2 linked regions of the Caenorhabditis elegans genome follow. The protein of the gene in region 1 purifies or fractionates together with the protein of each later gene. This does not show direct contact. Each region holds a gene or a part of one and is shown on either strand. Other genes may lie near its edges. The genes, in order: fbxa-101 and F07F6.7.

What was found.
Region 2: the proteins of fbxa-101 (region 1) and F07F6.7 fractionate together in Caenorhabditis elegans (co-fractionation; one large-scale study listed by BioGRID). This does not show direct contact.

Annotation. Positions count from the first base shown.
Region 1 is NC_003279.8:12,957,969-12,961,921, forward strand, and holds fbxa-101 (DUF38 domain-containing protein), read right to left. Parts: upstream 1,965-3,953; 5' UTR 1,952-1,964; coding exon 1,893-1,951; intron 1,838-1,892; coding exon 1,754-1,837; intron 1,697-1,753; coding exon 1,015-1,696; intron 968-1,014; coding exon 764-967; 3' UTR 672-763; downstream 1-671. Other genes in the region: fbxa-140 (F-box domain-containing protein), read right to left, coding at 2,404-2,664, 2,714-3,386, 3,441-3,493.
Region 2 is NC_003280.10:5,422,085-5,425,635, forward strand, and holds F07F6.7 (Apolipoprotein L, 1), read right to left. Parts: upstream 1,775-3,551; 5' UTR 1,748-1,774; coding exon 1,712-1,747; intron 1,662-1,711; coding exon 1,542-1,661; intron 1,496-1,541; coding exon 1,076-1,495; intron 1,028-1,075; coding exon 932-1,027; intron 885-931; coding exon 759-884; 3' UTR 651-758; downstream 1-650. Other genes in the region: Embryonic developmental protein tofu-6, read left to right, coding at 1-51, 101-272, 318-433, 488-580; F07F6.8 (Apolipoprotein L3-like), read right to left, coding at 2,153-2,383, 2,432-2,527, 2,575-2,994, 3,052-3,171, 3,545-3,551.

The sequences.
Region 1 (3,953 bases):
TCTCAAAACTTGAATAATATGATTATATAGTAGCGGGAATCAATAATTTACAGCGAAAAACATGTATTTGTATTATTATTAATAGTATCCAAATAGCCAATGACTGGAGCAATGAGCCCCCATGGTGCATCGAAGGGATGTGTAAATAGCTGCAAAAATGACATATTTTGCGGTCCAGATCATTGTTATAGAACTCGTTACACGTTTTGGGCTTGTAATAAAATTAAAATTTGAATTTTGAAAAAACACTTTGGGAAATTTTTTTTTTGTGAAAAAATTTAAAATTTCTAAAAACGTTTTTAAAAAATTAATTTACAATTTTTGCTAGTATATTCTTCACTTTCAGCTAAAATTTCTAGAAGAAAGGTTCAAAATATGACAAATTTGTAGCTTAGAGCAGGAATAAATTCATTTTTCTTTTCAAAAATATATAATTTATTTAAGCACTTGATTTTTTTTTTTTTTTTAATTTTTTTTTTTAAATTTTTTCACTAAAACGACTAAAAACATGAACTTTCCATAAATAATTTTCAAAAAAAAGTCAAGTTTCGCTTTCGGTTGATTTATTTTCTTTACCGGAAGCGACGTTTTTTCAATGTACTTTCTTGGCTTAGGCTTATAAAATGTCTAGTTTGTAGTCTATTAGCCTTCCAGTGTTGATCAAAGAAAAATGACAAAAGCAAATTCATGAGAACGAGATGAACAACAATAAATTAAACAACAATTTTTGAAAAACCAAAAAACAAAAATTAAAATTAAATAATCAGCCGAGTTTCTTCTCAATTTTCACTCGCTCTTCAGTGACTTCAATGACATATTCAAATCCATTTGCCTTGTAATTGATGGTTCCGGTTTTGCCAGCGAAGGTAGGATCAAACTCTTGGAGCATTTCTTCTGCAATTGATTCACTATCATCTAATTGCTTGCTGACGACACAAGTTTCCAGCTTTGTAGACGAATTTACCAACTGAAAGAATTTTAATTAAATCAACTAAAAATTGATTATTGCTATACCTCTTTCAGATCATTTGGCGATACCTCTGGACTGGTGAATTCAATACTTGAAAATCCAAGAAGATCCGACACAGTAAATCCAAAGACGGAGCAAATGTTAAGATCAGTTCGCAATTGTTTTGCATTTTTAAACTGTTCCAAGCAAGTTAGTGGACGAATATCGTTGAAGATGCAACGCATAATCTCAAATTTCACAAGTGTTCCAGCATCGAAAGAACTGAGAATTAGCGCAGCTCGTGGTTTCTTGAATCCACTCAGAGAAACTGATTTCGCTCGGAAACAGTGAGCATCTCCAAACTCCATATCGATTGTTCTCAGGCTTGACCTCAACCGTTCATTGTGGACATAGTCTTCATATCCTCCAATTGAGTCGAAATCTAGACTGAACTTCTCAATCTGAGCTTTTGGAAGCTTCATGACATTGAACAATTTTCTGAGAGCAAACTGTAGTCCTTTATTGTAGATGGTTCTTCTTTCATCATCAGCCACGACCGGATGGAAAGGTTCATTGCGAGCGTTGCTTATTTCATCATAAGGCACAAATCTATACCGATAACGAAATGATTTTCCATTGAGAACAATGGTGTACCTATGGCCCTCAATAAAAATATCAATGTCCAAATCCAGTTTCAAGGTGTCGATGAAGCTTCGAAGATTTCCATTGGAATTGCGAACGGAAATCCTGAAAATATTTTTATTATACTTTCTAAAAATATAATTTTTATTTATTTGATCTTACCAATCGTATGGATGCAGTTTCTTCACAATTTTCTTCATAATATTCAGAGGCAAGTCAAAAAGCGTCGGCGAGCTTGTCTTCGATCTGAAAATGTGTTTTAAAAAAGTTATTTGAAATTATTGTAGCCTAAATAACTAACAATTTCATGGAATTCTGCTTGTCCGTCGTTTCACCAATTTCTGCTCTTTGGCTAGTCATGTCGACGAATTACCTGAAAAAAATTAATTTGAGTAAATATAGAAAATCACGTTCAATGTGTAAAAACGAAATTAATTTTTACAAAAACAGGTTATTTTACTTATTTTAAATCATTTTCAGGGGAAAAATCACAAAAAATTGGTTAGAAAAACGCATAAACCACATTTGAAAATTCAAAAAAAAATTTAGAATTTTTGTGCGTCAAATGAGATGCCCGGTACGCATACTGCGTACTCTGAGAGTTACCGTAGTTTGGAAAAGGATCTTTGTTAACTATTCGAGAATTCCTTTTAAAATATAGAAAAACTGGGAAGATTACAAAATATTAAACGGAAGGTAACATTCAGCCGTAACCCAAATTATTGGTTTAATCAGTTTCAAAACAAAAAAAGTAACAAAATAAGAATTCATGTGACTAGTAAAACAAAAGCAAATTTTGAAAAATGAGAAGATTATTCGATTTTCTTCACAATTTTAGTTTCGAATTCAGTGACTTCAATGAGATATTCGAATCCATTTGCTTTGTAATTGATTGTTCCGTTATAGCCAACAAAGTTCGGATCGAACACTTTGAGCACTTCTTTTGACACCGTTAACACTCCACTATTGTCCTCATCATCGCTGTCTTCATCACTATCTTCATCGCTGTCATCCTCGCTGTCATACGTGTTCCTGCTGAGACAAGTTTCCAGCTTTGCAGACGAATCAACCAACTGAAAAAAAATCTAAAATTAATTAATCAATAATTAAGAATTTCTATACCACTTTCAAATCAGATGACAATACTACAGTTGTGAATTCGATATTTGAAAATGCGAACAGTTCAGCAACTCGAATTCCGGTGTAGCGATCAGTGGAAAGTCCAGTTTTCAGTTTTTTCGCATTCTTCCACTGCTCCGAAAGCGTCAGCTGCCAACTGAAGTAGAACTTGTAGGAATTAATGATTTCAATGTTCTCGAGAGTTCCAGACTTGAAAGATTTGAGAATGAGCACAGTTCGAGGTTCCTTTAGTCCACTCAGAGAAACTGATTTCGCTTGGAAACAGTGAAACTCTCCAAACTCCTTATCGATTGTTCTCAGGCTTGCACTCAACAGTTTATTTTTAAAACTAACTCTTCTGGAACCAATATCGTAGATATCTTCAAATTCGTCACTTCCTCTTCCCATAAAGTCAAAATCCAGTTTGAACTCTTCAATTTGGGCACTTGGAAGCTTCATAACCACGAACAATTTTCTGAGAGCAAACTGTAGTCTTTTATTGTAGATGGTTCTTCTTTCATCATCAGCCACGACCGGATGGAAAGGTCCGAAGGATTGATTTCCATTGATATCAATGGTGTGAAAAGTGCCCTCAATAGAAACATCAATGTCCAATTTGAGGTGCTGGCTGTCGACGAAATCTCGAAGATTTCGATTGGAATTGCGGACGGAAATCCTGAAACTCATTTGGTTTTTTTTTAACATTTGCCTAACATTCAAAATTTGATACCAATCGTATGGATCCACTTTCTTCATAACTTTCTCCATAACATCAACTGGCATGCTTAAAAGCGTAAGTGGTCTTTTCTTCGATCTGAAAATAAGCAAATTTTAAACTGAATCCGATGCAAATTTCATTTTAACACTAACAATTTAATCGATCCAGTTTCTTTGTCATTTCGACAATTCCACGAGATGAGCCAGTCATTTTGACAAATTACCTGAAAAATAGGAAATTTATTTGATTGATTCAGTTTTCAATCGTTTGAAGTGAAGAAAACAATAAGAAAATACGGATAAAGTGAAATATCTTTGTAAAATACGTTACCTAACGGTAAAATAACAAATTTTCCAGTAAATTTCGTGAAAACTGAAAATTTCTTTTCTGTCTAATAAATTTTCACAAATAAAAATCACAAAAACGACAGGAAAAATGCAAAAACTATGTTTGAAATTTTGAAAATCCAAAAACAATAAACTAGGAATTCTGTGCGTCAAATGAGATGCCCGGTACGCAAGTTGC
Region 2 (3,551 bases), on another chromosome or scaffold:
AAGGCAAAATGCTTCCAATTGCCAAAAGTTTTCCAGTCGATGCCGACAAGGGTAAGAGTTCCATTCAAATGTTTAACATATTTTTTCTATTTATTTTCAGGTTTCCTTGTGTGGACTAGATGGTCTTACCTGGTCACCAGTCGCCATTCCATCATTTGATAATATTCGCGAGGTTGTTAAAAAATGGGGACAAATGGAAAATTCGACGCTTCACGCCATGGCTTGTGGATTTCAAGGCTCTATTAACATGATCAATCTGTTCTGTGGAAAATGTGCGTTTTTTCTTTTGAAAATTCCCCTCATAATAATTTTTACAGCGATTCTTGCTGACCGTCTTCAACGTAAAGGTGTCTGTGAATACTTGCCACGCAGTCAGCAGCCACACTATGCATACTCCCGCGAGACTCTTCTTCAGCACAATAATTCTGGAGTGGTGAGATTTGATGATTTAAAGGGATTTTCAGTTTTAATTTGGCTTTATTTTCAGACTGCTCAAATTTCGAACGATGCTGATGTCGTCAAAGATCTACTCAAGAAGATTGATGGAGTGAAGAACATGCTCCGTGAGCTCGAGCTGTAAATCTGTCCCATTTTTTTTGTCGAAATTACATTGAATCTATGATGTTGTCAAAAAAATGAACATTTTAATTCAGTGTCAGATTTTATAAGAACAACAACAAGAAAAATAACAACGAGAAAACAACAAAAAGAAAAGAAAATCAACAAGAAAAAAATCAAGAAACTTTGAAAAGTGAAAACTAATCGCTGTTCCAGGCGTCGTAATTCAAGAAGTTGGTTACAACATTGTGTCGCATCCTTTCCATCTTGCCGGAAGCTTCACGAATTTTTCCTGCCAATTCAGAGGAAGATCCGTTTTTAAGCGTCTGAAATGAAATTAATATTATATTTTGATAACATTGTTCGCGGTTACATTAGCGCTCATGGCCAGGGTAACACCGTCCAGAACGATTCCGATGGCTGCAACGCTCTGCAGCATTCCTTTCATAAGTGCATTCGTGAGATGGCCCTAAAAACGAAGGTAAAAATTTAAATTTCAAAAAAACAACTATTCTACCATGGAAGATGCGGCCATTTTAATTCCGAATCCTGTGATTCCGGCGAGAGAAACACCAAAAAGTGTTTTCAAATGAGACTGGACATCGTCGAAGTTTTTGAAAATCTTTGACGATTGCTTGTCCTCCACAAATCTCCTCACTTCGTTCAACAAATCATTTCTCGAATGAAGAAGTTCCTCAAAAAACTTCGCATCCTCCGCGAGCATTCGATTGATTTCTCTGATTTTATGATCGGTAGCAAGCTTCTTGTTCACTCCAGTTGCGACATTTGAGACGCCGGAAGCTGCTCCAACGATGAGACCAGCAATTGCAACTGGTGGCATGAAGAATAGTCCTCCGAAAACTGCAAGTCCAGATGCAATATCAACGGAACTTCCGACAGTTGTTGCGATGGCTGAAGCCTTCTCCAATCCGTCAAGCTGAAATTTAGAAAATAAATAGAAAAACTATGTTTTATCGACCTACATCTTTAGCAATCTCCTCCATTCGGTTCATGATCTCTTGTCGGTTTGAGCTCCAACGATCGAGGTGCCATTGAGCTCCCCAGGCTTTAACCTGGAGTTCCTTTGGCATTTCTTCGCCATTCTGAACAAGAAATATAAATTATAAAAAATGAATTTGAATAAAAATCTTACCATCAACGTGCTTTTCAAAGATTCATAGATTGACATATCGCTTTGCAGTTTGTAGATAAGTCTCTGAATCAGTTAATTTAGAATTTGAAATAGTGAATAATTTAATAAGAAAACAAGAATTTAAATGAAGACAAGTTACAGTACAATAAAAAATAATTCCTTAAAAACACGGATTCGTTTTTGATTTTTATTCTGAGCAATGAGGTGTCTTTTCAAGACCACCTGGAATATTGAACATCTGAGCCTTTAAATTAGTACTGTAGAGTATACTGTAGCTCGCATTCTTTCTGGATTTTAATCGATATTTACCATTTTCGGGTTTCCGTTATTTTCACAATGCCCACACTTGAAGTGCCGAATTTATTTTATTTATTCGCATGAAACTTTCGCAAAATAACAACAAAACAGTAGTGAAACCCAGAAAAATTCAAAATCCCGATATTAATGTTGTACAGATGATTCTTGTTGATGTGGATCCATTATCAGTGACTGATTTGGAGATTCTGGCTGCACCATTTCAATAGAACCAACATCGGAGAGGACGTCATCATCGTCTTTCCAGACGTCTTCATTCAAAAAGTGTTTTACCACTTTTTGGCGCATCATTTCCATTTTGGAAGATGCTTCTAAAATAGAAGATCCAAGTTCCGACACGGATCCTTCTCCAAGAGTCTGAAATTTGTATATTTTATTTTGAAAATTTCAAATTAATTGTTGTACCTTGGCGCTCAACGCCAATGTGACACTGTCTAGAACGATTCCAATTACAGCTACACTGTGAAGAACTCCTTTGACAAGAGAAGAGGAGAGGCGACCCTGGAAAATAAATAATATTGATGAAAAAAATAATAAAAAGAGCTTACCATCGAAGTAATTGCAAATCTAGTTCCAATTCCAGTTATTCCAGTAACTGATCCACCGAACACAGTTTTCAGCTTATTTTCAATGTCCCCGTCGTTTTTGAAATGTTTAAAGAATTCCTCATCTTCAACAATTTTCCGAACAGCTTCCATAAGTTCTTCTCTTGATTTCAGAAGTTCTTCAAAAAGTACACCGTCTTCTGCAATCATTGCAGCTACTTCTTTGTGCTGCCCTTTTGTATGAAAAAATTTCGTGATGCCTGTCGCCAAATTGGAAACTCCTGAAGCTGTTCCAACGATGAGACCAGCAATTGCAACTGGTGGCATCAAGATAAGTCCTCCAATAACTGCAATTCCAGATGCAATACCAACGGTACTTCCGACAGCTGTTGAAATTGCACATCCTTTCTCCCAATTATCCAGCTGAAATTAAAAATTTTAAAATTCATTTTGATTAAAATCTCGCATTAAAGTACATACCTTCTCAGCAATTCCTTCCATTTGTCTGACAATTTTTCTTCGATTATTGCTCCATTTGTCCAATAAAAACTGTGTACGCAATGCTGTTTCACTCAATTCTTTTGACATTGACCTTGGAATCTAAATTCATTAATAATTATATTACGAAGACGGGAATTTTTTGTGGAAAGATGCGGTACCCGGTCTCGATACGACAATTTTTGTTAAATACAACCGGATGTGCGCCTTTAAAGAGTACAGTAGGTTCGAAGTATAGTGGCTTGGAATTTTCATCGACTTTTCATAGTTTTCTCGCAATTTTTTGAAAATGTTTGTGTTTTCATTGTTTTAGTTTATTGAAAACAATTTTTTTAGGGAAAAAAACAATGAAAAGTCGAGTAAAAATCCGCAGCAGCAAAAGTTTGAAATTACAGTACTCTTTAAAGGCGCACACCCGCTGGAATTTTACAAAATACCCAGTACCGTATTATTGAAACTTTAAAAAAAATCTTACAAATAGC